2 linked regions of the Callithrix jacchus genome follow. The protein of the gene in region 2 purifies or fractionates together with the protein of the main gene of each other region. This does not show direct contact. Links are inferred from orthologs where the notes say so. Each region holds a gene or a part of one and is shown on either strand. Other genes may lie near its edges.

The links.
Region 1: the proteins of SAE1 (region 2) and SUMO3 purify together in Homo sapiens (affinity purification with mass spectrometry; 3 studies listed by BioGRID and IntAct, with this or other methods). This does not show direct contact. The link is inferred for Callithrix jacchus from reciprocal best matches to the Homo sapiens genes SAE1 and SUMO3.

The regions. Positions count from the first base shown.
Region 1 is NC_133522.1:50,467,635-50,483,701, forward strand, and holds the start of SUMO3 (small ubiquitin-related modifier 3), read right to left. Parts: upstream 7,932-16,067; 5' UTR 7,838-7,931; coding exon 7,817-7,837; intron 3,239-7,816; coding exon 3,110-3,238; intron 1-3,109. UniProt on the Homo sapiens protein: Ubiquitin-like protein which can be covalently attached to target lysines either as a monomer or as a lysine-linked polymer. Does not seem to be involved in protein degradation and may function as an antagonist of ubiquitin in the degradation process.
Region 2 is NC_133523.1:41,079,933-41,095,837, forward strand, and holds the start of SAE1 (SUMO-activating enzyme subunit 1), read left to right. Parts: upstream 1-6,149; 5' UTR 6,150-6,203; coding exon 6,204-6,301; intron 6,302-15,905. UniProt on the Homo sapiens protein: The heterodimer acts as an E1 ligase for SUMO1, SUMO2, SUMO3, and probably SUMO4. It mediates ATP-dependent activation of SUMO proteins followed by formation of a thioester bond between a SUMO protein and a conserved active site cysteine residue on UBA2/SAE2.

The sequences.
Region 1 (16,067 bases), on a different chromosome or scaffold from region 2:
ACAAAGTTCTCGGCAAGGAACTGGATGTGTGACAATGAGGGACAAGACAAGAGGCTGCGGAAAGCCGGGGAGCCTTGAGGAGGGCAGCAGGAAGGAGAGCACGCAGCCTTTCTTGTGTCCTGAGGGAATGGAGAAACACGGCCAGGGACAGAAACATTTCCTCAACAAGCAGTTCTGATTTAACTGAAACCAGACCAACAGGTTTAAAACGTGCATCTGCTCCCCCTTGAAGCCCCAATGAAATGACGGAAATGGAAAAGGCACAAACAGCAAGGACAAAGAAAATGGGTGCGGGGATGGGCAGAGATGTCCCGCTGGGCTGGGCCAGAGGCTACCAAGGCGTGGACACTGCTGGTCTGATGGACACTGTGCTAGAATCCTGGAGCGGAGGGACTGGGCAGGCCCCAGCCTGGGAAGCAGGGCTGTGGCAGGCAGCTGACATTGAAAAGCTGGCTGGAAGTTCACATGCAGAGCCCTAAGGCAGGACCCCTACAACCCCGTGCCTCCCACCGCAGCACACAGGAGGTCTGCTTTCTGAAGAGGTGGGTGCAGAGGTCCAGTCGCAGGGCGGAAGCAGGCCCATGGAAGCCAGTGTCCTCAACCCTGTGCACCGAGCCCCCTCTCTCTCTGGATATGCCCCTAGGAGGCTGGCCGGAGCGTAGAGGACTCAACTGTCAAACTGCAGCATCTGGGCACCTCCAGAACCCCCAATCCAGACAGCTCACCCCACGTGGATGCACAGCCCTGGGAGCACAGCCATCCAGGTACACAGCTTCTCAGTGCTCCATGCTTGCACAGGAGAAGTCAGCCTTCGTGAGAGCAGTCAGGGAAAGGCTCAGAAAGGAGGGGAAGAGCACAGAGGAGAATGGAGAGGGAGGAGGCAGGAGAATGCTCCCAACACAGGCCTGTACACACACACACCCCTCACACATACACACACATGCGCATACACCACACCCACCTACACACACGAAGTAAAACATAATACTACCTTCAGAAAACAATAAACTACTGAGGATGGGGGTGGTGGCTCACATGTGTAATCCCAGCACTTTGGGAGACAGAGGCAGGAGGATCACTTGAGCCCAGGAGTTCAAGACCCACCTGAACCACATAGGGAGACCCCTATCTCTACAAAATAAAAAAATTAGTCTGGCATGGTGGTATGTATCTGTAGTTCCAGCTACTCAGGAGGCTGAGGCAGGAGGATCACTTGAGCCCCAGGGGTCAAGGCTGCAGTGAGCCATGATCTCACCGCTGTGCTCCAGCTGGGAGAATAGAGAGACCCTGTCTCAAGAAAATAAATAAATTGCTACTGAGAAAAAAAGAACACTCAAAGAACAGAAAGAAAAAGGAACTTTGCCGGGTGCGGTGGCTCACGCCTGTAATCCCAGCACTTTGGGAGGCCCAAGCGGGTGGATCACGAGGTCAAGAGATCGAGACCATCCTGGTCAACATGGTGAAACCCCGTCTCTACTAAAAAGACAAAAAATTAGCTGGGCATGGTAGCGCGTGCCTGTAATCCCAGCTACTCAGGAGGCTGAGGCAGGAGAATTGTCTGAACCCAGGAGGCGGAGGTTGCAGTGAGCCGAGATCGCGCCATTGCACTCCAGCCTGGGCAACAAGAGTGAAACTCTGTCTCAAAAAAAAAAAAAAAAAAAAGCAAAAGTTGCTTTCGGCCATGCAGTGTCTCAAAGACGCTGCCCTTCTGTGCCCTCTCTGACACAACCCTGGAGGATGTGCTCCACCACCAAAGGGAGGAGGACAGATCCAGGAAACACCCAGGGGAGAACCAAGTTTCTAGAAGGATGTGAACAGGAGGCCCTGGGACCACGACTGTGCAGCCAGCCTCACAGGCAGCAGTGCAGGTGGGGCAGGCAGGGAGCCCTGGAGAGCAGTGGGAAGAGCAGAGCCAGAGACATGTACACAGCCCCACACGCCTGCCATCCTGCAGCACAGCAGACTATGCGGGCACCTGGGAAGTCATATACACAGTGACCACCAGCCCAGGCAGCACACACTCCAACAAGGGCCAGGGTCCAGCACCAGGCAGAGGCTGGGTCGCTCACTCTGCTGGGAAGATCGGGGCCTGCATGTCCAGAAGCTCAGTTTCACCTTTTGCAGGTGAAAATAAGATCTGCCTTCAGCAAACAGAAGTCAGAGGGGCTGCTTGCCAACAGCGTGCAAGGTGGTGGCCAGTGACTGCCTCTCACAAGCAGGGTATCAGAAGCGCGAGGTAAAGAGGAGAAAATCTAACTGAAAATCCATAGGCAAGAGAGTAAAATAAAAGGGCGACGAGTTGCTGCATTTTCAAAACAGCTAAAGAAAAGCAGCCTCCAGGTCCCACTCAGGGAAGCAGGGCTCCCTGGGGAAAGGCACCTGGCTGCAGGGCCAGACCCCCAACACTCCAGGCAGCAGCCAGCAGGCAAAGCCCATAGGAGTGGCCTGGAGAGGGACCCCCTGGCCCAGGGCGAGTCCTCCGAGCACTACCAAGAATGACTGACACGCACACACATACCAAGTCCACAATCACACAGCAACCAGAAGGCGTCCGCCCAGCAGGGCACTGCCAGTGAGGCAGCTCATTATCCTGAAACTGGAGAAGGAGGAGAAAGAATCACACACTTTCTTTCCTTTCCTAACAAAAGGGAAAACCACACTGCAGATGAGGGCACTGTTTCTCCCGGGCTACTCCAGCTCATATGCAAGGACAAGGTGACAGTGCCATGGGGCACACGCCACCTGCAGCTGCAGAAAGGCCAGCCCCGGGCAGGGCTCCCAACAGCCTTCAGCATCACAGACTTCACAGATGTCAGTGCCCCATGAAGAACACAGCCCCCAGGAAGCCGCCTTGTCAGGAAGAAAACCCCACTGCACTCATCTGAGCCTCCAGGGCCCCCCGCCACATAAAAGGCCGTGGGGGCACAGTCAGCAAGCCCAGCCTGGGCCAAGTTTACAACACAAGCACCCGCCCACCCGCCTGTCCGTGAGGAGGGCGCCTCGAGCAGCTGCAGCTGGGTCCAGCCCCGACACTCATGTTCCCGGGATGCCTGGAACCCACGGGACCTGCACACACGCGGGAAGCCGTGCGGGGGGCCGAGGCGCGCACCTGCCTCTCGCAGTAGGCCTTCATCAGCTTGCTCAGCGGTGTGTGCCTCTTGATCTTGAACTGCACCACGGAGCCGTCCTGCCCGGCCACCTTCAGGTTGATGTGGTCGTTCTCTGTCTTCACGCCCTCCTGCAGGGGACACCAGAGACTGGCCTCAAAACTGTGTCTCAAAATAACCGCGACTTTGCAGGGCAGGTCCTTAGGTGACCATCAGCTCTTTGAAGTCCTTAAAGACAACCTAGTTCTTAAAACTGTCCAGGAGTCGGAATCACTCATGTGATTGTCTCATTTTTACACGGAATTGATTTTTAACTTCCACTTGTTAAGCATCTGTGGGTAAAACAATGCGAATCTACAGTCCTCTAACATGGTTAATTCAAAGAAAACCCGTTTAATAAAGCTAGGGAAAAATCAGAGAAGATCCATCTTTATTTTAAAGTGATTCTTGTGGGCTGGGCACAGTGGCTCACACCCATCAACCCAGCACTCTGGGAGGCTGACGTGGGAGGATGGCTTGGGCCCAGGAGTTTGAGACCAGCCTGGGCAACACAGCAAGACCCCATCTCTTTTTTAAAAAATTATTCTTATGAAAGCAGTAAAAAGACATATCCACAAGTCACTACAGCTATTCAGCACTAGTAAAAGAAACCAAAACAGAACAAAACATTTGCGACTCAGAGGGACCCTGTGGGTCATTAAAGTGGTGACCTCAGGAATGCAATTGAGGAGAGCCGCTTCCCACGGCGGGCAGCCAGGCTCCTTCTCACTGCCCTGTCATTGGCAAATGTGAAGGGAGCCATCTCCGAGTACTTTCTGGTTTCAAACTGTCCCATCTGAGAGCAGCGGGTAGCATTTTATTTTTTAATTCATGCCATGCTTGAAGCTGCTCAGCAAGGCACAATCAGCGTGTCTTGTTGCCTGGAAATGCATTTTCAGTTGAGGCAAGAAGCCGATGTCAACAGATTGGGAGCCAACTTCGGGGCAGCTCAGTCTGAGCAGCAAAGTGGGACACCCCTCAGGCTGCCTGCACTGCTGGGTGAAGCCGTCTGAGTGAAGCGACGGGGCATCTGAACGTCAAGTCTGGAGCACCCTGGTACCTTCTCACCCTACGCGGAGGTGCTCCCAGAGGGAGCACTGTACATTCCTGGAGACCCTTGGGGAGGTATGGTGCTCTCTGTCAAGGGAGCAAGAGTGGCCTGTGAGGGGCCCTGGCAGTGAGGGGCTCCAGCCACAAGCCTGAAGATGTATATTCTGAGGTGGCACTCACCCCCCAACTCCAGTCTTGGACCAGGCATCCCTGCCCACTCCAGGGAGGACACTGGCTTCGCAGCAGCTTGAGTGGTGAGCTGGCACACCCCCATCCCCCCACCCCCTCACCCCCAATGTGGCCTCCAGCACAGAAAAAACTGGCCCAGGAAGTGAGGGCATGCAGACCACTCCGGGCAGGATGTTAGTGGGGACCCCTGCATGAACCCCCTTCACTTCCCCAAGCATGAGGACTCACTGGTTTCTTTAGGGAAGGAAGATATGGGTGTGTTCAAAGGCACAGATGCAGGACCCAGACCTGCCCACACCGGGCAATGGCTGCGGCCCCGGGAGAGGCTGGGGCAGGGCAGGGCCAGCCACAGCACCTCTGCCCCATTAACAGCCAGATGCCAGGAATGAACAGTCTGTTCCAGATCCCTGGTGAATTCCTAATAAACAAATGAACTCGTGAGTTAAAAAATGAAGCCCTGGGCCGGGCGCAGTGGCTCACGCCTGTAATCCCAGCACTTTGGGAGGCCGAGGCGGGCAGATCACAAGGTCAAGAGATAGAGACCATCCTGGCCAACATGGTGAAAACCCGTCTCTACTAAAAATACGAAAATTAGCCGGGCATGCTGGCAGCTGCCTGTAGTCCCAGCTACTCGGGAGGCTGAGGCAGGATATCACTTGAACCCGGGAGGTGGAGGTTGCAGTGAGCTGAGATTGCGCCACTGTACTCCAGCCTGGCAACAGAGCCAGACTCCGTCTCAAAAAAAAAGAAGCCCTAAAAACATGGACCCCAGTTCACTACAGGCAATCCTCTGCCTCAGCTATTCGGGGAAGTCAGAACTATTCTCCACCTGACCCAAAAGCTCTTCTTCCCAGCACCACTGGGTCCCAGGGTCCACTTCTTCCCCTTCCTCAGAGGCCCAGGGCAGAGCTGCTCCCACACACACGAAGGGGACCCACCACAAGTGGGTCCGGTGAGGTGGCAGCCATCAGTCATTCCGGAACTGAACAAGTATTTTCAACGGAATTGGACCCTGAAGTTGAGCACGTGGCAGAGCTAGGTTTAAACACTGCTGAGAAAATGGGTCTCATAGGTTCTTCATTTACTCTTCGCTAAGAGGAAGCTACCTACAAAAACACAACAGACACTTATCCTTGGCCTAGTTTTTTTGCTTTTTGTTTTTTGGAGTCTGAGTTTCACTGTCACCCAGGCTGGAGTGCAGTGGTGCGATCTTGGCTCACTGCAACCTCTCCCGCCCTGGTTCAAGAGATCCTCCTGCCTCAGCCTCCCAAGTAGCTGGGACTACAGGAGTGTGCCAATACGCCTGGTTAACTTTTTGTATTTTTAGTAGAGACAGGGTTTCATCATGTTGGCCAGGCTGGTCTCAAACTGCTGACCTCAGGTGATCCACCTGTATATCTGGCCTAGTTTTAACAAGTATTTAAATATTCCAACAACCCCAGGGGTGGAAGAAGTTTGAGTTCACTGAAGTCAAACTGTAAAAAGCAAAGGTCACTCCAAACACTGGATAGAGGTTTCCCTGGAGTTTCACTACACAGCAAGTGGAGTGCAGCCTTCCAGAGAGACCCCGCCCGTGGTTCCAGGAGCTTCAATCCCAGTTCCCACTAGTGTCTAGCACTGAACCTCCACGCTCACTTGTAAACGGAGGGTGGTCACCTCCAGGACCAGGCCAGTATCAGAGACAGCCTCCTTACAGAGTCTTCAGCTCTAGTCATCTTCCACTGGGATATGACACCATCTTCCACTTGGTCGACAGTGCACACCAAGGGCTTCAGAAGTTTCTCTTTCTTTTTTTGAGACGGAGTTTCGCTGTTGTTACCCACACTGGAGTGCAATGGCAGGATCTCGGCTCACTGCAACCTCCGCCTTCTGGGTTCAAGCAATTCTCCTGCCTCAGCCTCCCAAGTAGCTGGGACTACGGGTGCGCACCACCATGCCCAGCCAAGTTTTGTATTTTTAGTAAAGATGGGGTTTCACCTCGTTGACCAGGATGGTCTCAATCTCTTGACTTCGTGATCCACCCGCCTCCGCCTCCCAAAGTGCTGGGATTATAGGCCACCGCGCCCGGCCTAAGTTTCTCTTTTTTTTTTAGGCTAGTCAAGTAGTTTCTGTTTTTTTAATCCTGGTCAACATGACTACAGACCCTCCCAAAGACAGGCCAGTGCACCTTAGTGAAGGGTGCACACCCCAGGACTGAGACAGGATTGCATACTCCAGTGTGGCAATCGAGGAAACTAAAACACACCCAAGGCTGGCTAAGGAGGGGTGGGCATGCATAGGGGATGGGCGCAGACAGGGGTGGGGGTGGGGTTGGGAAGGGTGGACGCACACTGGGGAACCCGATGGGGAAGGGTGGGTACACAACGGGAGGTGCGATGGGGAGGGGGTGGGCGCACACGAAGGGGGATACGATGGGGAGGGGTGGGTGCACACTAGGGAACGAGGTGAAAGGGGTGGGCGCACACGGGCGCACATGGTGGAGTGGGTGGGTACACACGGGGAGGGATGGGTGCATACTGGGGACACGATTGGGGAGTCTCGAAGAGAGGTGGGCACACACCGGGGATGCGATGTGGAGGGGTGGGCGCACACGGGGAAGGGGGGTCGCGAAGGGGAGGATGGGTACACTGGGGGCACGATTGGGGATCGCGAAGGAGAGGGGTGAGCACACACGGGGACACGATGTGGAGAAATGGGTGAATACCAGGCGCGCGATGGGCACCCTGAAAGGATGGCAGAGCTGTTCACAGGGGCCAAGCCCCTCAGAGCACGCCCCTCCGGGGTAACCCCGGACGCTAATCCCAGAGCCAACCCGTGCGCTCAACATGCGACCCTCCCAGGGCGATGCGGCGGGAGAGGGCGACGCCACCGGGCAATGACTCAAGAGAAGGCCACGCAAAGACGCCTCAGGGGCACCGCCGGGGCGAGATCGGAGGGCGCCGCGCTGGGCAGAAGCAGCGCGGGGCCCACACCCGGCGCAAGACCTGCCGCTTCCCGGCCGGGGAGGGGCGGGGCGTGGAGCAAGGGCGTGGCCAGGCCCGGCGGGGGCGGAACTGGAGGCACAGAGCGCTTCGGGGCGGGGCGCGCCTTAGGCGGTTCCACTTCGGGGCGGGACACTACAAGGGGTGGGGAGCGGGGCGGAGCCTGGCTATGGGAGGAGAGAAGGGGCGGAGTCTTGTTGGGGGCGGAGCCGGGCTGGAGGCGGGGCGCGCCGCCGAGCGCCGCCGGGCGGGGGAGGGGAGCGGCGAGCCGGGCGGAGCGGGGGAGGGGAGGGAAGAGAAGGGACGGGAGCGCAGGCGGCGCCGCCGGCCTGGGCGCGGGTCCCCGAGGTCGCCGCGGTTTCCTCGGGCCGACGGGGAGCGGCGCGCGTCGGCGGACGCGCCCAAGACGCCCGCGATGGCCGCGCGTGCAGACGGGGGCGCCGCGCTTACCTTGGGCTTCTCCTCGGACATGGCTGCTCGGGCGGCGCGGGCAGGCGGCGCGGGGGAAGCAGCGCGGAGCGGGCGAGTCACGCTCACGGCCCCGCCGCTCTCCCGCCGCAACTGCGCGCGGGGCCGCGCTTTATCCCCCAAATCCCGGCGCGCTCGTTGGCCGGCGGGGGGTCACGTGTCTGCGCGCGTGCACGAGGCGCGCTCCCTGGGGCGTCGGGCGCGCGCTGGCCTGGCCGCGGCTCCCGGCGCTTGGAGATGCGTCACGGGGCGGGTCCGGCGCGACCCCGGCGGGCTCAGACGGCCTAGGGCACTGGGGTGCGCGGGCCAGAGGCGCGTGCGGGGAGCCCGGGCCCTGGGGACCCCTGCCTGCCTCCCCTCCCGCGCCCTGGCCCCGACTCCTTTTCTGGGGACAGCGTTCCTGGGGTGCGGGAAGTGAGGCCGGGCCGCAGCCCGTGAGGCGGAGGAGGGAGGCCCCTGGGGGCGACGTTCCCTCTCGGGAGCCGCGGACGGAGCGGACAAGGCGCCCGCGGGGTCCCGGCCGCCGAGGCCGCGCGAATCAGGCCCGCACCCGGGACGGTTGGGGGCGCCACGCGGCTCCTTGCAGCGGCAGCTTCCTGTCCGTTGTCAGCCCGGGCCGGGCTCCCTCGGCCGCCGCTCCCACCGGGCTGTGCCGGGCCCTCAAACCCGTCCTCAGGAAGACCCGTTTTACCTACGAGGAAACTGAGGCACTGGGCGGCCCAACCATCCCCAGGTCAGCGCTGGTGAGCAGCGCCGAGCGCGGGCAAACCCAGGCTGGACGCCGCCGGTGCCGGCGGAACGGGGGCTCGCGGATGCGGGAAACGCGCTGGAGCGCGGGGCCGGCAGGGCCTCCCCGGACTTGCGGCGCCATTCCTGGGGTGCCCGGCCCTCCCCGCCTCCGAGTCTGTGATCCCAGGTTCTCGGATGGAATGCGCGTGAGGGCGGGCACCCCTGCGTCCCTCGGCAGTGCCAGGGCGGTGCCATCCGGGCATGGCGGAGGCGGGGGAGCCGGACCCCGCAGGCTCAGCCGGGAAAGGGCAGGACCTGGATTTGAACCTAAGCCTCTGAGCCGGGGACGGCCCAGCCAACCGAGCGCGGTCGCAAAGCCAGGGGACAAATCTTAGCGGACCGTAACTTCCACTCTTAAGAATTGGCTTTCTTGGCTAGAGCCCCCACTGAGGAGCGGGAAGGCCGGGGAGGTCTCTCGGTGAGAGGGTCGGACGGTCAGCCCAGGTCCCAGGGTGTGGTCCCATCTTTCTGGAACCTGGAACCCAAGGCCTCGCAGAGGATGCGGAGGTGGGCGGCCGGCTTAGGCTGTCTTGGGAGGGGGACCCCTGCAACCAGCCCCTTGCGAGGGGAAGCGGGGCTCAGAGCCCCTAGATTGCTGGTGGGGAGAGTCGCAGGGCAGGCCGACTCCGAGACACTGTTGATCCTAAAACATAAGACCACACGGTAGCACGGACATTAGATTCCCACGGGCTGTGGATAAGGCAGCCCGCTTCATGTTGTGGACGTGAGAAACACGCAGCTTAGAACTGATGACACGTGGAGCCCAGGTGTGTTACCACTCGCGGTTAAGCCAGGTGCATTCCTCTGACAAAAAGCCGTGTCACGAATATCAAGGATGCTCAGATGACATTCAGTTTTCAAGAGCAGGCTAAAAGATGATGGTGGTCCGAATCAAGTCATGCTGTGTCTGCGAAGAAAGAACGCTGCTCCCACACTCTGACCTGCCCCAAATCCTTCCTGTGACCACAAAGATGCAAAAAGGCTCCACTGAGCTGCGGGGACACAAAGGGCACTGCTGGTAGACCAAACACCAACAGGTTTCTGAAGGACACAGCCAAAGGGGATCGAATGGACCAGAGAAACCAGAGCTCAGGAAAAACCAGGGCCTACCATGAGCACAGGGTCCAGATCCGAGACTGCCAGAGCCCGTCCTCAGTGTCGCCAACACCTGGTGATGGTCCCAAGAAGACTTACAAGAAGGCAGGAGCTGGGAAATGAGTAAGAGGATTGCTGACGTGAAAGCTCAACCCGTGTGCTGACTAGGAGAGGGGTCCTGGCTGAGGACACAACTGCCAAAGTCACAGGACTCTCCCATGACAGAGAACTAAAGAGAGGGAAGGTGGGAAGCCAGGACACTGGGCCTCAGTACAGGAAGGGCTGTGTCCACCTGACAGGAGCTACAGAAGGAGAAGGTGGAAAAAAGGAAGGCAGGACAAAAATCAAAGGATTGAAGAAAGTATCTCTGAGGCCCAGTGCAGTGGTTCCTGCCTGTAATGCCAGCACTTTGACAGACTGAGGCAGGTGTATTTCCTGACGTCAGGAGTTCGAGACCAGCCTGAGCAACATGGTGACGACCCGTCTCTACTAAAAATACAAAAATTAGCCAGGTGTGGTGATGCATGCCTTTAATCCTGGCTATTTGGGAGGCTGAGGCTGGAGAATCGCTTGAACTCAGGAGAGGCTGCAGTGAGTCGAGATCACACCACTGCACTCCAGCCTGGGCAGAAGGACGAGACCTTGTTTTAAACAAAAGAAAATAAAATTCTCTGAACTAAAGAAATATTTGACTCTATAAATGGAAAGGACCCCTGAGTATTGAATGGCTGAGAGAAGACAGACACTGAGATGGGTGGTGTGAGGAGAAATGCCTGAAGCATTCAGAGAAGTTTTTCCTTACAGTTAGGAAGGACTGGTTGCCTCAGACAAACCCAAGAAAAATAGCTCAAAAATCGGTATAAAATATTTTTAAATCTGTTTAAGTATATCGGATAGTTACAAAAACAAATTTTTCTCTGAGGGGCAAAGACCTCCCACCACCTCAGGAAAAAGGCAAGTTGTTTTTTGTTTTTTTTTTTTTCTTTGAGGCATTTGGTGATAAGTATCCTGTATTATTCAGCCCAGACTTTCATAAAAAAATACAAACCATGGATAGTTATTTCCCAGCCTCCAGGCAGTTCTGGAGACTGGAAGCCCAAAATCAGTGAGCCATCAGGGTTGGTGTCCAGTGAAGCCTCTCCTCCCAGCTCGTATGTGGCCACCTTGGCATGTTCTCACATGGCCTTTCCCCTGTGTGTGCAGATGGAGAGATCTCTGGTGTCTCTTCCTCCTCTTGCAAGGACACTGGTACTATGGGATTAGGGCCCCATCCTTACCACCTCCTTAAAGGTCCTATCTCCAGATGAAATGGGCTTCACTATGTGAATGCTGGAGGACACAATTCAGTCTCACATATGCACTGGGAAGAAGTTGACACTCTGAGTGAGCTTTTGAGTCTTACAGGGTTGGGGACGCAATAATTGGTGACGGCCCCCAAGATAGGCTCTGCTGAGTGACCCAGACCTTCAGCCGAGAGCACTGAGTGCTGCAGTAGGGGAGGAAGGCTGAGGGGTGACTGGATCATCCCTCTCAAAGTCTGAAATCAAGCTTCCAAAGGGCTCAATCCCAGACTCAACTGATCTGCCCTCTTTCCCAAGGCCAGCCTGAAGCAAAGGGAAATATACTGAGGAAAATAGCATCATCCAGGGCCTCAAACTAATGAAAATATTTCCATACACAATATCCGGATAAAGTTCACAAAGAAAACCAGAAGACAAATGATCCAAAGCCAAAATACATATAAGAAATAATCCCATGGAATTATTATGTCAACAGGATATTGACATTATCATACATAGACTTTAAAGGAATGTGATTAATATGTTCAAGAAAGTAGATTATGAGACGAAAATGTTCAGCAGAGAAGTGGGGTATATAAGAATCTAATGGAAATTTTCAAACAAAAAATATACTAGCTGAAGTTATAAATTCAGTGGATGTGTTTGAAACAGATTAGACACAGTGAAAGAGATAATTAATGAACTGAAAGATAGGTCAGAAGAAAATATTCAGAGTGGCCGCAGTGTAATCCTAGCACTTTGGGAGACCAAGGTGGGTGGATCACCTGAGGTCGGGAGTTTGAGACCAGCCTGGCCAATATGGCTAAACCCCATCTCTACTAAAAATACAAGAAATTAGCCAGTTCTAAAGCTCCCTTTTTTTTTTTTTTTTTTTTTTTTTGAGACAGAGTTTTGCTCTTGTTACCCAGGCTGGAGTGCAATGGCATGATCTCAGCTCACTGCAACCTCCGCCTTCTGGGTTCAAGCAATTCTCCTGCCTCTGCCTCTCGAGTAGCTGGGATTACAGGCACGTGCCACCATGCCCAGCTAATTTTTTTATTTTTAGTAGAGACGGGGTTTCACCATGTTGACCAGGATGGTCTCGATCTCTTGACCTCGTGATCCACCTGCCTCAGCCTCCCAAAGTGCTGGGATTACAGGCACGCACCACCATGCCCAGCTAATTTTTGCATTTTTAGTAGAGACGGGGTTTCACCATGTTGACCAGGATGGTCTCGATCTCTTGACCTCGTGATCCACCTGCCTCGGCCTCCCAAAGTGCTGGGATTACAGGCTTGAGCCACCGCACCTGGCCTCTTCAGCCCTTTAAAAAAAAAAAAATAGCTAGGTATGGTTGCAGTTGCCTTTCATTGCTTGAACCTGGGAGACGGGGGTTGCAGTGAGCCAAGATCACGCCATTGCACTCCACCTTGGGTGACAGAGCAAGATTCTGTCTCAAAAAAAAAAGAATATTCTGACAGAAACAGAGAAAAAATATGGGCAATATAGCAAAAGGCCTAAGAGATATGCAATATGGTGAAAAGGTATAATGTTTTTTTTTACATGGAGTCTCACTCTGTTGCCCGGGCTGGAATGCAGTGATGCGATCTCAGCTCACTGCAACCTCTGCCTCCTGGGTTCAAGCTATTCTTCTGCCTAAGCCTCCTGAGTACCTGGGATTACAGGCACATGCCACCATGCCCAGCTAATTTTTGTTTTTTTAGTAGAGACAGGGTTTCACCATGATGGTCTGGCTGGTATTGAACTCCTGACCTGGTGATCTGCCCACTTCAGCCTCCCAAAATGCTGGGATTACAGGTGTAATGCATTTATAAAATGGAGTAACACAGAGAGAGAATAGGCCAGCAGTGATATCTGAAGAAATAATAAGAGAATTTGTCAAAATTGATCAAACGTAACAAAACATAGATTACAAACATACTATCAACCACAATCAGAATAGATTTAAAAAAAAAAATGCTTGATTACATACTAAACCTGAAAACCAAAGACAAAGAGAATAGAAGCTGTAGGGGGGAGACCCCACAAGTGCCGTGGGGAGGGTCTGAAGCTTCAGCCTGTTCCCATGTAAATATTGATTTAGAAAAGAATTAGAAATGTAGGCACACAGTTATTCCTTTATATAATCATATATAATATTATAACTGCTCACTTATAACCAGAAAGATATGTACTCAATATAACCTTTAATTTTACTAATAACTATGGGGTTATGAAACATGGAACTGAGGTGACATTGTGAACAAAGTGATCCTAAGGCCAGATGCTCTAAGCCCTGTCACACCCGCATAGGGCTGCTGGAGGGCACCTCGGGTGTGCAGCAGTGCCAGTGCTGGGAAAGTGCCCAGTGTTTAGCCAGTAAGGGAAGGAGATATCCAAAATGGCTGAGACATCTCCTTCCTGGGGAAGTTAGGAGAAAACTCCGCTTCTCCAAGCTCTGTCAGGGAGGCCCACAGACATCCGGGGGCTTAACTGCCTCTCTGTGATGCTGTGCTTCAGTGATCATGTTCCGTGTCCACTCTCACGCTCTGCTTCTGCACCTAGTTTCTCTTCTTCTCAGAAGATAAAAATTAATGTCCTTGACATTTCCGACAAATATGTGAAGAGCGCTGACGCATTAGCTTTTCTCCTCGCCTCGGCTGCTTGAAAGTCCTGGGCCCCCTGTCTCCAAGACACAAGTTACCTGACCCTGCACTGACCACCATCACCTCACCCTGCCTTCCCTGACCCCTGCTTTGTACTCAATAAAAGTCAGAGTGTCCAGGCACTCGGTGCCACTGCAGGTGTCCACACTTTGGTTTGCAGTGGACCCCCCAGCCCAAACCCTCTTTATCTCTGTGTCTGTGTCTTTTATTTCTACAGTTTCTCATCTCCGCACCAGCAGAGAGGGAGATCCCTATAGGGCTGAACCCTATAAGAAGACAGACAGAGGAGAAACTAAAGGACTTACAGCTGACTTTGCAACATGAACATGGAAGCCATGTAACAATGGAATTAACATCTTCAAAGGGGTGAAAGAAAATAGCTGTCTACATAGAATTTTATACCCAATGACAAGATCATGTAAAGGTAGAAGTGAAATAAACATATTTCAGAAAAAGCAAATCAGAGAAATGTGAAAGGAAAATAAAATCTTGGCACCCAAATTCACTCTGTCAAAAGGAAAAAATTAAGCTGAAAGCTGAGTCCTGCAAGAAGCTGCATTTCCTTTGGTTCCTAAGCAGATAGTTACAGATAAAAGGTAAACATCTCTACCGGTAGCTGCTCTAAATTCACCTTATCTTATGGAAAATGCCAATTCAGTTTGCTGGTCATGAGATGAATGCACAATTGACTCTTCCCCAGTGGCTCCTTTTCTCTTGCACCGTGTACATTCAGTCATGTGATCACACCCTTCCTCTTTAAATACTAACACCCGCAAAGTCAACTTGGGAGAAAGGCACGGACCACAGACTATTTCTGTGATTCCATGTTTTTTTCTCCCAGGAATTGTCCTTATCCTTGGCGAAATAAACTTCTAAATTGATTGAGCCCTGTCTCAGACACTTTTTGGCTTAGAGAATTAACTGCGAGAAAGCACACACTAAAGTTAATACTAAAAGGATTTCTTCAGCAGAGGGAAAGTGGCCCCAGATGGAAGTATGAAGTACAGGAAAGAATAAAGAACAGTAGGGCCGGGCGCGGTGGCTCACGCCTGTAATCCCAGCACTTTGGGAGCCCGAGGTGGGTGGATCACAAGGTCAAGAGATGGAGACCATCCTGGTCAACATGGTGAAACCCCATCTCTACTAAAAATACAAAAATTAGCTGGGCCCGGTGGTGTGCACCTGTAATCCCAGCTACTCAGGAGGCTGAGGCAGGAGAATTGCCTGAACCCAGGAGGCGGAGGTCGCGGTGAGCCGAGATCGCGCCATTGCACTCCAGCCTGGGTAACAAGAGCGAAACTCCATCTCAAAAAAAAAAAAGGACAATAAAAAGGCTGTAAATCCGAGTAAATCTAGAGAGACACTAACTGCATAGAACAACAATAGTAATGCCTTCTGGAGTTCTAAATAGATGTGGACTTAGAATAAGTGATCACGAAAGCAGGCAGAATTAAAGTGTTCTAGAGTTCTCGCGGTATCTGAAAACTGGGAAAGGGGAGGACAGAGTTTTAAGACATTTTCAGAAACGCAAATACCTACCGGGGTTTCCATCCATGGATCCTCATTGAAAGAATCATCATGGATTCTCTGCAGCAAAGTGCAAATGGAACTCATGACAGACATTCAAGCAGGACCAGTGTGAGCTGTTGAGTGGGCTGTGCACTGCGCGGCTCTAGGACACCGCTACAGCATGATGGATGACTCAGAGTTCTGTGTTGTTTCCTGGCTGGGAAAAAAAGTGAGCAAGGAAACCAGCAAAAGTCATTGTTAATACTAAATACTTTGTGCTGCATACTGTAGAAAAAATACAGTGTCTGGGATTAAAATCACAGAGGATTATAAGCAGATGGAAGGGGCAGATACAGGAGAGGGAGAGAGGAAGAAGGGAAGTACAAGCATACTGCAGTTCTTATCTGGTTCAAGGTGAAAACAAAGATATTAATATCTGTTGATAGAATAATGGGAGTTTAAACACATAAAAATGCTCAAGTTATGTATGCATTTTTAAGTATGCATGTTTAATTTAAATGAAAAAGTGGTTTATAAAGAAAAAACTTTACCAGCCTGGTCAACATGGTAAAACCTTGTCTCTACTAAAATTACAAAAATTAGCTAGGTGTGGTGGCAGGCACCTGTAGTCCCAGCTACTCAGGAGGCTGAGGCAGGAGAATCGCTTGAATCCAGGAGGTGGAGGTTCAGTGAGCCTAGATGTCTGTTGCTCTCATTTTTATTGAATTGCAAATCTGGGGGGAGGGTACTAGGGCATGGTCTTGGTGGTCAGCTACTGGGGTTGGGGTAGATAGGGCGTGGCAGTGATAGGGTGAAGTACATCACGTGTCATGCAGGTAGGGCCCAAGAATTTCAGGTGGCTGAGATGAGGTAAGGAGCATAATGTGTCAGCAC
Region 2 (15,905 bases):
TCAAGCAAGTCTCCTGCCTCAGCCTCCTGAGTAGCTGGGACTACAGGCATGCACCACCACGCCCAGCTAATTTTATTTTGTATTTTTAGTAGAGATGGGGTTTCGCCTTGTTGACCAGGATGGTCTCTTGACCTTGTGATCCACCTGCCTCGGCCTCCCAAAGTGCTGGGATTATAGGCGTGAGCCACCGCGCCGGTCCCCCAAAGGCTCTTTCTTACCACCTTTTCTTTTTTTTTTTTTTGAGGCGGAGTTTCGCTCTTGTTACCCAGGCTGGAGTGCAATGGTGCCATCTCGGCTCACCGCAACCTCCGCCTCCTGGGTTCAGGCAATTCTCCTGCCTCAGCCTCCCGAGTAGCCGGGACTACAGGCACGTGCCACCATGCCCAGCTAATTTTTTATATCTTTAGTAGAGACGGGATTTCACCATGCTGACCAGGATGGTCTCGATCTCTTGACCTCGTGATCTACCCGCCTCGGCCTCCCAAAGTGCTGGGATTACAGGTGTGAGCCACCGCGCCCGGTCTCTTACCGCCTTTTCCATTGAAGGGTGGGTGGGTAGGGGATGAAAGTTTCAGCAACGGCCGGGCGCAGTGGCTCACGCCTGTAATCTCAGCACTTTCGGAAGGCCGAGATGGGCAGATTACAAGGTCAGGAGATTGAGACCATCCTGACCAACACGGTGAAACCCGGTCTCTACTAAAATACAAAAAAAAAAAATTAGCTGGGCATGGTGGCACGTGCCTGTAGTCCCGGCTACTCGGGAGGCTGAGGCAGGGAAATCACTTGAACCTGGGAGGTGGAGGTTGCGGTGAGTCGAGATTGTGCCACTGCACTCGAGTCTCGCTCTGTCGCCAGTTTTTCCCATAAACTGATGAGAGAGCTAGACTCTGTCTCACACAAAAATGAAAGAAAGAAACAAAGAAAGAGAGAGAGAGAAAGAAAGAAGAAAGAAAGAAAGAGAAGGAAGGAAGGAAGGAAGGAAGGAAGGAAGGAAGGAAGGAAGGAGGGAAAGTTTCAGCAGCTTGCCCTGTTTTTCGTGGAAAACAAAATCCTAACGTAACTTTTCTCCTGTGCCTCCAAAACATCTCCGGGCTGGCAGGTCCTCTTTTTTTTTTTAATTGAACCTCCTGAAATGCACATAAGTCAGCTAATACTTGCATGGCACCTGTTTCGTTCTGCTCTTGGTACGATATGATGATGATGATGATGATGATGAGGCAGGGTGTCCCTCTGTCACCCAGGCTGGAGTACAGGAGCACCATCACAGATCACTGCAGCCTCTACCTCCTGGGCTCAAGTGACCTCCAGCCTTAGCCTCCCAAGTAGCTGAGACCACAGGTGCACACCACCACACTTGGCTATTTTCTTCTTTTTTGTAGAGGAGGGTCTCACTCTGTTGCCCAGACTGCTCTTGAACACCTGGCCTTAAGTGATGCTCCTGCCTTGGCCTCCTAACGTGGTGGGATTACAGGTGTAAGCCACTGCGCCTGGCCAGTACATTATTATGCTAATGAAAGACCTGTCTTTTCTCTGGTTCCTGGGATGGCTCTAGGGTGGTTTCTTCAGACTGGGGATGAGGAGGATTCACGGAGATGTTCCTATAGAGGTGGAAGAAACACCACCATTTGTCAATGACCCCTGGAGACACCTGGAGAACAACGGAGGAGACCCTTGGCCAAAGAGAGCCATTCCACTGTGTTGGAGCCTGCTGATCACCAACCCATAGCTTTTTTCCCTTTCTTCCTTGCTAATCCAACTGTAGATTAATTGAAGAGGTGAGAGGTACTGAGATCCAGGCTGGAAGAGGAATGATTGGTCTACTTGGTTCTCAAGGGATAATGTTGCCCCCTAGAGGACATTTTGGAAATTATTAAGGAAAATTAGCGACTGGGTTTCTCAAGGGTACAGTGCTGCTTCCTTGGGAGCGTTTTGGAAACGTACCTTTCGTCATCGTCACAATGATGAGAGTAGAGGACAGGGACTGAGACTAGAGGACAGGGACCAGGCATGCCAAGATGTTCTGGCATATAGCATTCCTAATGAATAATCACCCAATGAATGCAGTTAACGATAGCTCTTAAAAAGTGGCAAAAAGATTGTTTATACTAAATTATACTAAGCTGAAACACTGAACTATTCCAGTCCCTTTGAAATTGTTTACATAGCAAAGTCATGGTTGACTCCTGACAATTTAGAAGATTTATGCCGCCACTCTTGGGATAATGAAAATGTTTTGGAACTAGATAGAGGTGGTGGTTGCATAATATGGTAAAAGTACTAAAAGCCACTGAATTGTGCACTTCAAAATGCTGCCTAATGTTATATTACGTGAATTTCACCTCAATAAAATTAAAAAAAAAAAAGATGTATAGGCCTGGAGTGGTGGCTTACGTCTGTAATCCCAGCACTTTGGGAGGCCAAGGTGGGCAGATGACCTGAGGTCGGGAGTTTGAGTCCAGCCTGACCAACACAGAGAAACCCCATATCTAGGGGAAAAAATAATAAAATAAAATAAATAAAAAAGGTGTATATTTCCAGATATGAGGCTATACCATTACAGTTATTTTTTTCCCATAAACTATAAAAAAGTAGAAATGAGGAGAGGAAAGGGAGACACTTTTAGACCTTTGATGAGTCTACAAGTACAGGAGAAAATAATTTTTCTTTCTTTTTTTTTTTTTTGACATGGAGTTTCACTCTTGTTACCCAGGCTGGAGTGCAATGGAGCCATCTCGGCTCACCACAACCTCCTCCTCCTGGGTTCAAGCAATTCTCCTGCCTCAGCCTCCCGAGTAGCTGGGATTACAGGCGCGCGCCACCGTGCCCAGCTAATTTTTGTATTTTTAGTAGAGATGGGGTTTCACCATGTTGACCAGGATGGTCTCGATCTCTTGACCTCATGATCCACCCGCCTCGGCCTCCCAAAGTGCTGGGATTACAGGCGTGAGCCACCGCGCCCGGCCCTGAGAAAATAATTTATGCAGCAATTAGCTCTATTTTCAGAGTTTTTTTTCATAAAGTGATCATTTTACAGGCGTTACTGCATAGGCACAGGTAAGAATCTGGGTCACTCCCTAACCAGTTAAAAATTATTATATGCCATAGACTTTCAGAATTACCATCTTTTCTTTTTTCTTTCTTTCTTTTTTTTTTTTTTGAGACAGAGTTTCACCCTTGTTACCCAGGCTGGAGTGCAATGGCTTGATCTCGGCTCACCACAACCTCTGCCTCCTGGGTTCAAGCAATTCTCTGGCCTTAGCCTCCCGAGTAGCTGGGATTACAGGCACGCGCCACCATGCCCAGCTACTTTTCGTATTTTTAGTAGAGACAGGGTTTCACCTCATTGACCAGGATGGTCTTGATCTCTTGACCTCGTGATCCACCCGCCTCGGCCTCCCAAAGTGCTGAGATTATAGGCATGAGCCACCACGCCTGGCCTGAATTTTTGTATTTTTAGTAGAGACAGGGTTTCACTATGTTAACCAGGCTGGTCTCCAACTCCTGACCTCAAGTGATCCTCCTGTCCCAGCTTCCCAAAGTGCTGGGATTATAGGAATGAGTCACCATGCCTGGCCTAATTTTTATAATTTTTGTAGCAGGGTCTGGCTTGCGTTTGACAGTCTCAAACTCCTGACCTGAAGTGATATTCTCAAAGTGTTGGGAATATAGACATGAGCCACTGTGCCTGGCCTGTTGAAAGTTTTTTCTTTTAGTGGGTTTTTTTTTTTTTTTGAGACGGGGTTTCGCTAGTTACCCAGGCTGGAGTGCAATGGCGCGATCTCGGCTCACTGCAACCTCCGCCTCCTGGGTTCAGGCAATTCTCCTGCCTCAGCCTCCCAAGTAGCTGGGACTACAGGCGCGCGCCACCATGCCCAGCTAATTTTTGTATTTTTAGTAGAGACGGAGTTTCACCTTGTTGACCAGGATGGTCTCGATCTCTCTCTTTGTTTTTTTTTTGAGACGGAGTTTTGCTCTTGTTACCCAGGCTGGAGTGCAATGGCCCAATCTCGGCTCACCGCAACCTCGGTCTCCTGGGTTCAAGCAATTCTCCTGCCTCCGCCTCCTGAGTAGCTGGGACTACAGTGTGCGCCACCATGCCCAGCTAATTTTTGTATTTTTAGTAGAGACGGGGTTTCACCTTGTTGACCAGGATGGTCTGGATCTTTTGACCTCGTGATCCACCCGCCTCAGCCTCCCAAAGTGCTGGGACTACAGGCGTGAGCCACCGCGCTTGGCGAGAAAGAGATTTAATCACAGGGCCACTGAAAACCAAGGGAGGAGATGGAAGGAAACCACGAATCCACCTCCCCAGGGAGTTTGGGGTAGGGTTTTTTTAGGGGTTTTGGGGTAGGTTGAAGTGTGAAGGTCATTGGTTGGTTGAAGAGTGAAGGGTGAAATCATGTGTGTGTGTGTGGGGGAAGCCCACAAGTGCCAAGATAAGGGTTTAAAGCCTTAGCCTGTTCCTATATAAATATTGAATTAGAAAAGAATGAGAAAAATAAGCACATAGTTATTTATATATATAAAATCATATATAGTTATACAGTTATTTATATATTATTATACAGATATATATACTTAATATAACCTTTTAATTTTACTAATAATTATTGGGTAATAAAGCATAAAAGTGAGGTGACATTGTGAACAAAGCAATCCTAAGGCAGGATGCTCTAAGCTTCTGTAACGCCCGCATAAGGGCTGCTGGAGGGCGCCTCGGCTGTGCGGCAGTGCCAGCGCTGGGAAAGCGCCAGCTGTTTTTTTTTTTGTTTTTTTTTTTTGAAGTGGAGTTTCGCTCTTGTTACCCAGGCTGGAGTGCAATGGCGCGATCTCAGCTCACCGCAACCTCTGCCTCCTGAGTTCAGGCAATTCTCCTGCCTCAGCCTCCTGAGTAGCTGGGATTACAGGCGTGCGCCACCATGCCCAGCTAATTTTTGTATTTTTAGTAGAGACGGGGTTTCACCTTGTTTGACCAGGATGGTCTCAATCTCTTGACCTCGTGATCCACCCGCCTCGGCCTCCCAAAGTGCTGGGATTATAGGCTTGAGCCACCGCGCCCGGCATGTCTTGTGTCTTTTATTTCCAGTTTCTTGTCTCCACACCTGTAAAAAGGGGCTCACAGAACCCTGTAGGGCTAAACCCTACATTCATGGAACAGGGAGATGAAGAAACTCTCTACTCCTGTTGATTTGGTTCCTCTGTGGGAGTCTTCACACTGGTTGGCATCAGTTGTTTTGCTGGAATTCAGGATCTGAAAAACATCTTTTTTTTTTCCCCTCCTGAGACAAGAGTCTCACTCTGTCGCCCAGGCTGGAGTGCAATGGCGCGATCTCAGCTTAATACAACCTCTGCCTCTCGGGTTCAAGCCATTCTCCTGCCTCAGCCTCCTGAGTAGCTGGGATAACAGGCACGCACCACGACGTCCAACTAATTTTTGTAATTTTAGTAGGGACACGGTTTCACCATGTTGGCCAGGCTGGTCTCGAACTCCTGACATTAGGTGATCTGCCCGCTTCAGCCTCCCAAAGTGCTGGGATTATAGGCATGAGTTTTTTTTTGAGACACAGTCTTACTCTGTCACCCAGGCTGGAGTGCAATGGCCCGATCTTGGCTCACTGCAACCGCCGCCTCCTGGGTTCAAGGAATTCTCCTGCCTCAGCCTCCCTAGTAGCTGGGACTACAGGTGCACACCACCACGCCCGGCTAATTTTTGTATTTTTAATAGAGACGAGGTTTCACCATGTTGGCCAGGATGGTCTCATCTCTTCACCTCGTGATCCGCCCGCATCGGCCTCCCAAAGTGCTGGGATTACAGGCGTGAGCCATTGCGCCCAGCCTCTCAATACTCATTTTACAGTAACCCTATTGCAGGTATCTCAGCGTGCGCTCCTTAAATATTTGCAGAATTTAAGAGCCTCATAAGTGACCACGTGGGTAACGCCCTAGGGTCCTTAAGCCGCGCCATTTTGGGGGCCAGGATTGGTTTGAGCCTGTGTCACGTGACTTACAGTAGCCGGACCGCCCGTGAGTCTTGTGAGGTACTTTTAGTTCCAGCCTCCACGGTCGAGGTACTGCGCAGGCGTGGGGAGATCTGCGCCTGCGCAGAAGCACTCCGGGCGTGCTGCCGGCGGCGGTTGGGCGCGCAGGGCGGGTGGGCGGTTGGTGCGAGCGGGTCCAGAGCTGAGGCTGGAAGAGCCGGCGCCATGGTGGAGAAGGAGGAGGTTGGCGGCGGAATTAGCGAGGAGGAGGCGGCGCAGTATGACCGGCAGATCCGCCTGTGGGGCCTTGAGGCCCAGAAACGGTCAGGGCCGGCGTGGCTTGAGGCGCCCGGGGTCTGGAGAGGGTGTCTAGTCTGAGGCGTTTGCGGCCCGGAGGGAGCGGGAAGGTGTGATTTGAAGGGAGGAGGCGGGAGTTATGTGCACCGGGATCGTGTCGCTCCTGAGAGGACTGGAGGAGTTGATTGGGGATGTTTCTGGAAGGTCTAGGAAGTGGGGACGTCTCAGGATGTCGGCAGGTCTGTTCCGAAGGATGGGAGGCCTCTGAAGGGGGCGTTGGGGAGTCCTGAGGGAGGATTCAAACTCAGGAAATCCGAGGCCCGAGGGCGGTGATGGTGGGGTTTGGGTCGCGGGTAGGGGACTAGAGGGGCTGGGATAACGTGGAAAGGCTGAGGTGGGGGACCCTGTTCTGTGCTGGCCTCGGGGAGGCTGGACTGGCTAACCCCGCAGAAGGAGCGTACATTCTTGTGGGTGCCCGGGGGCGGGCCAGGCTGAAAGAACGCGGCTTTTGAGGAGTTTTGGAGCAACTTATCTCCAGATGGGAATCTTGAGAGGTTGGGAGAGTCTGGAGGAGGACGGCGGCACCGAAACGGTCGCCGTGTCTGTTAGGGGACCGTGCCTTCACAGGACAGAAGACTTAGTTTGGACATTGTGGGGTAGCTTGGGATGGGTGTTTTTTTGTTTTTGTTTTTTATTTGAGAGGAGGTCTCTCTCTGTCGCCCAGACTGGAGTTCTGTGCGGTGATCTCGGCTCACTGCAAACTCCGCCTCCCGGGTTCAAGAGATTCTTCTGCCTCGGCCTCCTGAGTAGCTGGGATTATGGGGCCCACCACTACGCCCGAGTAATTTTTGTATTTTTAGTAGACACGGGGTTTCGCCATGTTGACCAGGCTGGTCTCGAACTCCTGACGTCAGGTGATCCACCCGCCTCGTCCTTCCGAAGTGCTGCGATTACAGGCGTGTGCCACTGCGCCTGGACAACTGTTCTGTGTTTGAGACAGTCTTGCCCTGTTGCCCAGGCTGGGGAGCAGTCTGGCAATCTTGTCTCGCTGCAGCCTCAGGCCTCAAAAACACCCTTTCACCTCCGTCTCCTGAGTAGCTGAGATTACAGGCTCGCGCCACCACGCCCGGTAATTTTTGTATTTTTCGTAGAGATGGGTTTTTGTCATGTTGACCAGGCTGGTCTTGTCCTGACCTCAAATGATTTGCCTGCCTCGGCCTCCCAAAGTGCTGGGATTACAGACGTGAGCCACTGCTCCTGCTTTTTTTTTTTCTCTTTGTTGCCCAGGCTGGAGTGCAGTGGCATGATCATAGCTCACTGTGGCTTCCACTTCCAGGGCTCAAGTGATCTTCTAACTTCAGCCTCACCATTAGGTGGGACTACAGGCTGGCCCCACCACATCATCCAACTAATTTTTGAGTATATATATATTTTTTGTAGGGACGGGGTTTTGCCATGTTGCAGACTGGTCTTGAACTCCCAGGATCAAGCTTTCCTTGGCCTCAAGAGAGCCCTTCCCCAACCCCACACTCGGCCTCCCAAAATGCTGGGATTACAAGCATGAGCCACCATGCACTGATCAATATTTTTACTTAGTGGGGACTCAGTGTCATGCTTGTAATCCTAGCATTGGGAAGCTGAGTCGAAGGGAGGGAAAGGGAATCTTTTGAGCCCAGGAGTTTGAAACCAGCCTGGGTAAGGTTTCAAAAAACCCAGTCTCTACAAAAATAGAAAAATTAGCCGGACATGGTGACATCAGTTTGTGGTCCTAGCTAGTTGAGAAGCTGACGTGGGAGTATCACCTGAGCCCTGGGGAGGTGGAGGTTGCAGTGAGCTGTGATAGCACCACTACACCCCTGCCTGGGCGACACAGTGAGGCCCTGTTTCAAAAAATCAAAAAATCCACAAACGTGTTTATATGTATATATATTGATCTGTCACTAAAGGATGGTGAAGTGGGAGGGCTCTTTTGATAGGTTGGCCAGGGAAGGGCTCTGAAGAGGTAACATTGAGCCTAAGACTTGAATGAAAGGAAAGAGCCCTATGGTCATCTGGGAGAACTTTACCAGCAAAGAAAACAGCAAGTGCAAATTCCCAGAGGCCCAGGCATGATTGTCAGGTAGTGTTGTTTGAAGTGGGGCAAAGTCGGTGGTGTTAAAACTGGAATGTAGTTAGGGAACTTTCAGAGGGATAGGAATGGTTTATCTGAGCAGCAGTAAAGAATGGATGGGGGCCTCTGAGTGGGGAGATGACCTAAGGGACAAGTCAAGGTCAGGACGTGAAATTTGTGGGAGGTGGGAGTTATTCTGAGGGAGTGGAGCTGTACTGAATTTGGTGGAGAACATGAAAAGCATTGGCTGAGGGTTGTGGGAGGGAGGGAAGAGGTTATCTGTCATTTGTACTTGTATTTTTAGATAATCTCAGAGAGTCTTAGAGAATTTATTAAAGTGTTTTTGTGTCCATTTTCAGCTGAGTCTTTTAGAAATTAAATTTTTTTTGTGGGTACATAGCAGGTGGATATATTTTGGGGATACAGGCATACAATGGGTAATAATCATATCAGGGTAAATGGGGTATCCATCACCTCAAGCACTTATTCTTTGTGTTACAAACAATGCAATTATATTCTTAGTTTTTGGGAGTCTGACTCTGTCACCAGGCTGTTGTGCAATCTCACTTCACTGCAATCTCTGCTTCCTGGGTTCAAGCGATCTCAGCTCACTATAACTTCCGCCACCTGGGTTCAAGCGATCCGCCAGCCTCAGCCTCCCCAGTAGCTGAGACTACAGGCATATGCCTCCACACCCAGCTAATTTTTTTGTTTTTAGTGGAGATGGGGTTTCACCATGTTTAGGATTGTCCTAACATGAGGTCCTCTTGACCTCATGATCCACCTGCCTTGGCCTCCCAAAGTGCTGGGGTTACAGGTGTGAGTCACCACATCCGGCTTCTTTTTTTTTTTTTTTTTTTTTTGCGTCCTACCCCCATCACCCGGCTTCTTTTAGTTATTTTGGAATGTACAACAAATTGTTGACTGTAGTCACCGTGTTGTACTATCAAATACCGGATCTTATTTATTGTATTTCATTATATTTTTGAATCCTCCTTCCCCTCCAACCCCTACTACCCCTCCTAGCCTCTGGTAACCATCAGTCTACTATCTGCATGAGTTCAATGTTGTAATTTTTTTAGCTTCCGCAAATAAGTGAGAACCTGCAAAGTTTGTCTTTCACTGCCTTATTTTGCTTAACATAATAACCTCTGCCAGTTCCCTCCATGTTGTTGCAAATGACAGAATCTAATTTCTTTTTTTTTTTTTTTTTTTTTTTTTGGTAGACAGGCTCTCATTCTGTTGCCCAGACTGGAATGCAGTGGTGCAGTCACAGCCAGCTCACTTCAGCCTTGAAGTCTTGGGCTCAGGTGATCCTCCCACCTCAGCCTCCCAGTAGCGGTGACTACAGCACATGCCACAAGCCCAACTCATTTTTTAGTAGAGGTGGGGTTTCGCCATGCTGCTCAGGCTTGTCTCCACCTCCTGGGCTCAAGTAATCCTCCTGCCTCCCTGCAAAGTGCTGGAAGTATAGGCGTGAACCGCCATGCCCAGCCTTTGTACCAAAATGTCTTTATGTGTTGTTAGACACATGGTTTGCTTCCAAGTCTTGGGTGTTGTGAAGAGTGCTGCAGTCAACATGGGAGTGCAGGTATCCTCTTGTTTTTTTTTTTTTCTGTAGACAGAGTCTCCTTCTGTCACCCAGGCTAGAGGGCAGTGGCACGATGTCAGCTCAGTACAACCTCCACCTCTCAGGTTCAAGCAATTCTCTTGCCTCAGCCTCCTGAGTAGCTGCAGGCACCTGCCACCATGCCTGGCTAATTTTTGTATTTTTAGTAGAGCTGGGGTTTGCTCTGTTGGCCAGGCTGGTCTCAAACTCCTAACCTCAGGTAATTGGCCCTCCTTGGCCTCTCAAAGTATTGTGATTACAGGGGTGAGCCTTCATACTCGTCCTGATTTTTTTGGGGGGGGGGGTGGGTATATACATGGCAGTGGGATTGCATTTTCACCTCAGTCTTTTTTTTTTTGAGATGGAATTTCCCTCTTGTTGCCCAGGCTGGAGTGCAATGGTGTGTTCTCAGCTAATGGCAACCTCTGCCTCCCAGGTTCAAGTGATTCTCCTACCTGAGCCTCCTGAATAGCTGAGGTTGCAGGCATGCATCACCACATCTAGCGAATTTTATATTTTTAGTAGAGACGGTTTCTCCATGTTGGTCAGGCTGGTCTTCAACCTCTGCCCTTAGGTAATCTGCTGGCCTTGGCCTACCAAAATGCTGAGATTTCAGGGGTGAGCCACTGTGCCTGGCCTTCACCTGAGTTTGATGGCAGCTCTCTGGAGTAGGAAGGGCAGTGTTCTTCTCTGTTCAGATGAGGAAGCAGGCTCCACAGAACAAATTGACTTGCCTCTAAGAGGGCTCTAGGTGGGGTAGGAGAACTCTGGAGACTGGAGTTCCTTTGTTTTTTTTTTTTTGAGTCCGAGTTTCGCTCGTTACCCAGGCTGGAGTGCAATGGCGCGATCTCGGCTCACCGCACCCTCGCCTCCTGGGTTCAAGCAATTCTCCTGCCTCCGCCTCCTGAGTAGCTGGGACTACAGGCACGTGCCACCATGCCCAGCTAATTTTTGTATTTTTAGTAGAGACGGGGTTTCACCTTGTTTGACCAGGATGGTCTCAATCTCTTGACCTCATGATCCACCCACCTCGGCCTCCCAAAGTGCTGGGATTACAGGCATGAGCCACCACACCTGGCCAGAAGTTAACTTTGTGCCTGTTGTCTGATCTGTAAAAGAAAGATAACAAAGTACCAGCCCATTGGATTGTCATGGGCATTAAATGACATAATACATACAAAGAGCTTAGAATAGTGCTTGGCACACAGTAAATGTTCAATAAATGTTGGCTATTATTATTTTATTTTGTACCTGATCTTTATAATTCTACTAATCGACACAGGTTTTGGTGTGTCTATTAATTCACAGCCATTTGAGTAACAGTATGTCCTAAATGCTAAGGACACCTATTGGTTCTAGGGATACAGTGGTTTCTGGAGTGAGGGGGCAGTCAACATATAATCAAGTAGTGTAGCTTAGTGCAGTGATGTGTGCCTGTGACCCCAGCTACTTGGGAGGCTGGGACTGGAGGATCACCTGAGCCAGGAGATTGAGACTGGCTTGGAAATGTAGTGAGGCTCCATTTCAATCAAAACAAAAACAAATAATATAATTTGAGATGGAAGAGGATGTGGACCTATTTTAAATTAAGTGGCCAGTGTGGACTTCTCTAAGGAGATGACAGTTGAGCTGAGACCTAAAGAATGTATCCTTCAAGAAGTTGAGGAAAGAAACAGTGGGAACCACTAATGTCAAGGTCCTAAGTGGGTAGCAAGCATGATCTCTAGGAACAAGGAAGGCTGGCAGGGCTGTAAGCAAGTGACCAAGGGAGAGAGTAGAATGAGACTGAGACAAGAGAGTATTTAGTGTCCCTGGTGGCTGGCCACAGTGGCTCATACCTGTAATCCCAGCACTTTGGGAGGCCAAGGCAGGTGGATCACCTGAGGTTGGAAGTTGAAGACCAGCCTAACCAACATGGAGAAACCCCGTCTCTACTAAAAATACAAAATTAGCCGGGCGTGGTGGTGCATGCCTGTAATCCCATCTACTTGGGAGGCTGAGGCAGGAGAATTGCTTGAACCTAGGAGGCGGAGGTTGCAGTGAGCCAAAATCTCGATATTGCTTTCCAGCCTGGGTAACGAGTAAAACTCTGTCTTAAAAAAAAAAGAAAAGAAAAAAGAGAGTCCCTGGTAAGGAGCTTACATAGGGAATCATTGAAAGATTTTGCCCAGGAGAGTGATATAATCTTTTTTTTCTTTTTTGAGATGGAGTCTCTCTCTGTTGCCCTAGAGTGCAGTGGTGTGATCTCGGCTCACTACAATCTCTACCTCCTGGGTTCAAGCAATTCTCTGCCTCACCCTCCTGAATAGCTAGGATTACATGCGTGCACCACAATGCCCTGCTGATTTTTGTATTTTTACTAGAGACGGGGTTTCGCCATCTTGGCCAGGCTGGTCTTGAACTCCTGACCTTGTGATCTGCCCTCCTCAGCCTCACAACATACTGGGATTATAGGTGTGAGCCACCTCGCCCAGCCCAATCTGGTTTACATTTTAATAGACCTTCCTGAGAAGGAAGTTGGTGGATTGTAGAGGCTGAGAATGGAAGCAGAAGGAGCAGGTTTAAGGCTGCTATAGGTTTTTTTTTGTTTTTGTTTTTTTGAGACAGGGTCTCAATTTCTTTCCCAGGCTGAAGTACAGTGGCTTGATCACAGCTCACTGCAGCCTCGACCTCCTGGGCTCAGGTGATCTTCCCACCAAAGTCCCTCACCCCTCCCAGAGTAGCTGGGACTACAGGTTTGCGCCACCACACCCAGCTAATTTTTAATTTTTTTTTTTGTACAGACGGAGTCTTACTGTGTTGCCCAGGCTGGTTTCGGATTTGTGGGCTCAAGTGATCCTCAGGCCTCACCCTCCCAAATTGCTGGGATTACAGGTGTGACCCACTGTATCCAGCCTGCTGTAGTTTTGTAGGAGAGAAATGATGGTCGCTCAGACTAGGGTGGTGGATGTAGAAGTCGAGGGAAGTAGATGGATGATGATGCTGTGAATGTATATTATTTTTGTGCCCACTTGGGTGTATATTTATTTATTTTGAGACAGAGTTTGATGCGGTCTCAACTCAATGGACCCTCCACTTCCCGGGTTCAAGTGATTTTCCTGCCTCAGCCTCTGGAGTAGCGGATATTACAGGTTCCTGCTACCATGCCCAGCTAATTTTTGTAATTTTAGTAGAAATGGGGTTTCACCGTGTTGGCCAGGCTGGTCTTGAGCTCCTGACCTCAGTTGATCTGTCTGCTGGGGATTTGTAGTCCCAGCACTTTGGGAGAGGCAGAGGTAGGAGGATTGCTTAAGCCCAGGAGATGGAGATCAACCTGAGTAACATAGTGAGACCCCATGTTTACAAAAAAACCCCATAAATTAGCCAGGTGCAGTGGTGTGCACCTGTAGTCCCAGGACTCAGTAGGCTGAGGTGGGAGGATCACTTGAACCTGGGAGGCTGAGGCTGCAGTGAGCCCTGCACTTCAGTCTGTGTTCATAGAACGAGACCCTGTTTCAGTAAAACAAAACAAAGCATAAACATGATATTTAGTGTTGATGCCATTTGAGTAATGAATTTTATTTTATTTTTGAAATGGAGTCTGTTGCCCAGGATGGAGTACAGTGGCACAGTCTTGGCTCACTGAAACCTCTGTCTCTCGGGTTCAAGCAGTTCTCATGCCTCAACCTGCCAAGAAGCTGGGATTATAGGTCCCTGCCACCAAACACTACCAGCTAATATATATATATATTTTTTTATTTGGAATCTTGCTCTGTCCTCCAGGCTGGCATGATCTTGCCTCACTGCGACCTCCCCTCCCAGGTTCAACTGATTGTCCTGCCACAGCCTCGTGGGTAACTGGGATTACAGGAGTCTGCCACCAATACTGGCTGATTTTTGTATTTTTTAGTAGAGATGGGGTTTTGCCGCCGGGTGCAGTGGCTCAAGCCTGTAATCCCAGCACTTTGGGAGGCTGAGGCAGGTGGATCACGAGGTAAAGAGATCGAGACCATCTCAGTCAACATGGTGAAACCCCGTCTCTACTAAAAATACAAAAAATTACCTGGGCATGGTGGCGTGTGCCTGTAATCTCAGCTACTGAGGAGGCTGAGGCAGGAGAATTGCCTGAACCCAGGAGGCGGAGGTTGCGGTGAGCCGAGATCGCACCATTGCACTCCAGCCTGGGTAACGAGCAAAACTCCGTCTCAAAAAAAAAAGAGAGAGAGAGATGGGGTTTTGCCATGTTGGCTAGGTTGGTCTTGAACTCCTGGACTCCAGTGATCTGAGCACCTTGATCTCCCAAAGTGCTGGGATTACAGATGTGAGCCACTGCACCGGGCCATAGTTTTTTTTGTATTTTTGGTAGAGATCAGGTTTCACCATGTTGGACAGGCTGGTCTTGAACTCCTGACCGCAGGCGATCCACCCGCCTGAGCCTCCCAAAGTGCTGAAATTACAGGTGTGAGTCACCAAACCTGGCTGAGTAATGAATTTTAAAAAACTTCAGAGCAGAGTCTGTAGAGCTAAGTAGGAATGTAGGTTATGGAGAGGAGATTTATTGTCCCAGACTTTTTTTTTTTTGAGACCGAGTTTCACTCTTGTTACCCAGGTTGGAGTGCAATGGCGCGATCTCGGCTCACTGCAACCTCCGCCTCCTGGGTTCAGGCAATTCTCTGCCTCAGCCTCCCAAGTAGCTGGGACTACAGGCACACGCCACCATACCCAGCTAATTTTTGTATATTTTTTTTTTTTTTGAGACAGAATTTTGCTGTTGTTACCCAGACTGGAGTGCAATGGCACAATTTTGGCCCACTGCAACCTTCGCTTCCTGGGTTCAAGCATTTCTCCTGCCTCAGCCTCCCGAGTAGCTGGGACTACAGGTGCACGCCACCATGCCCAGCTGATTTTTGTATTTTTAGTTGAGACAGGGTTTCACCTCGTTGACCAGGATGGTCTCGATCTCTTGACCTTGTGATCCAGCCACCTCAGCCTCCCACAGTGCTGGAATTATAGGCATGAGCCACCGCGCCCGGCCAATTTTTGTATTTTTAGTAGAGATGGGGTTTCACCATGTTGACCAGGATGGTCTCGATCTCTTCACCTCGTGATCCACCCGCCTCGGCCTCCCAAAGTGCTGGGATTACAAGCCTGAGCTACCTCGCCCAGCCCTTCTGATTACCCTTTTTTCAGCCTCATTTCTGTCACTTTATAAGATTTAAAAAGAAAATCAAGGCCAGTAGCGGTGTCTCATGCCTGTAATCCCAGCACTTTGGGAGGCTGAGGCGGGCGGATCACTTGAGGTCAGGAGTTCGAGACCAGCCTGATCAACATGATAAAATCCCATCACTACCAAAAATACAAAAATTAGCCAGACTTGGTGACAGGCACCTATAATCCCAGCTACTCAGGAGGCTGAGACAGGAGAAGCACTTGAACCTGGGAGGTGGGAGTTGCAGTGAGCTGAGATCCTGCCACTGCACTCCAGCCTGGGCGACAGAGCAAGGCTCTGTCTCAGGAAAAAAAAAAAAGATAAATTCTTGTGTACATCCTTTTTTTGTGCCAGCATTTATTTTGCTTGTGTGTTTATACTTAACTAGTGCCTCTTCTCAGCACCTCTTCAGCTGTCATGCTAGTATGAGCTACCGTCATCCTCCCTTACCTTAACTGTGACATGTTCCCACTTCCATGGCTTTCCATTATGCTTAAAAGAAAATCCAGAGTCCTTCCATTGCATGTAAGAGCCTTCATGATGTGTCCCCTGGTTACAGCTTTTCAGCTTCTCTGTCATTACTGTCCCTATAATGTGCCAAGCACTCCTACTTTAGGGCTTTTTTTTTGAGACAAAGTTTTGCTCTTGTTACCCAGGCTGGAATACAATGGCGCGATCTCGGCTCACCGCAACCTCCACCTCCTGGGTTCAGGCAATTCTCTA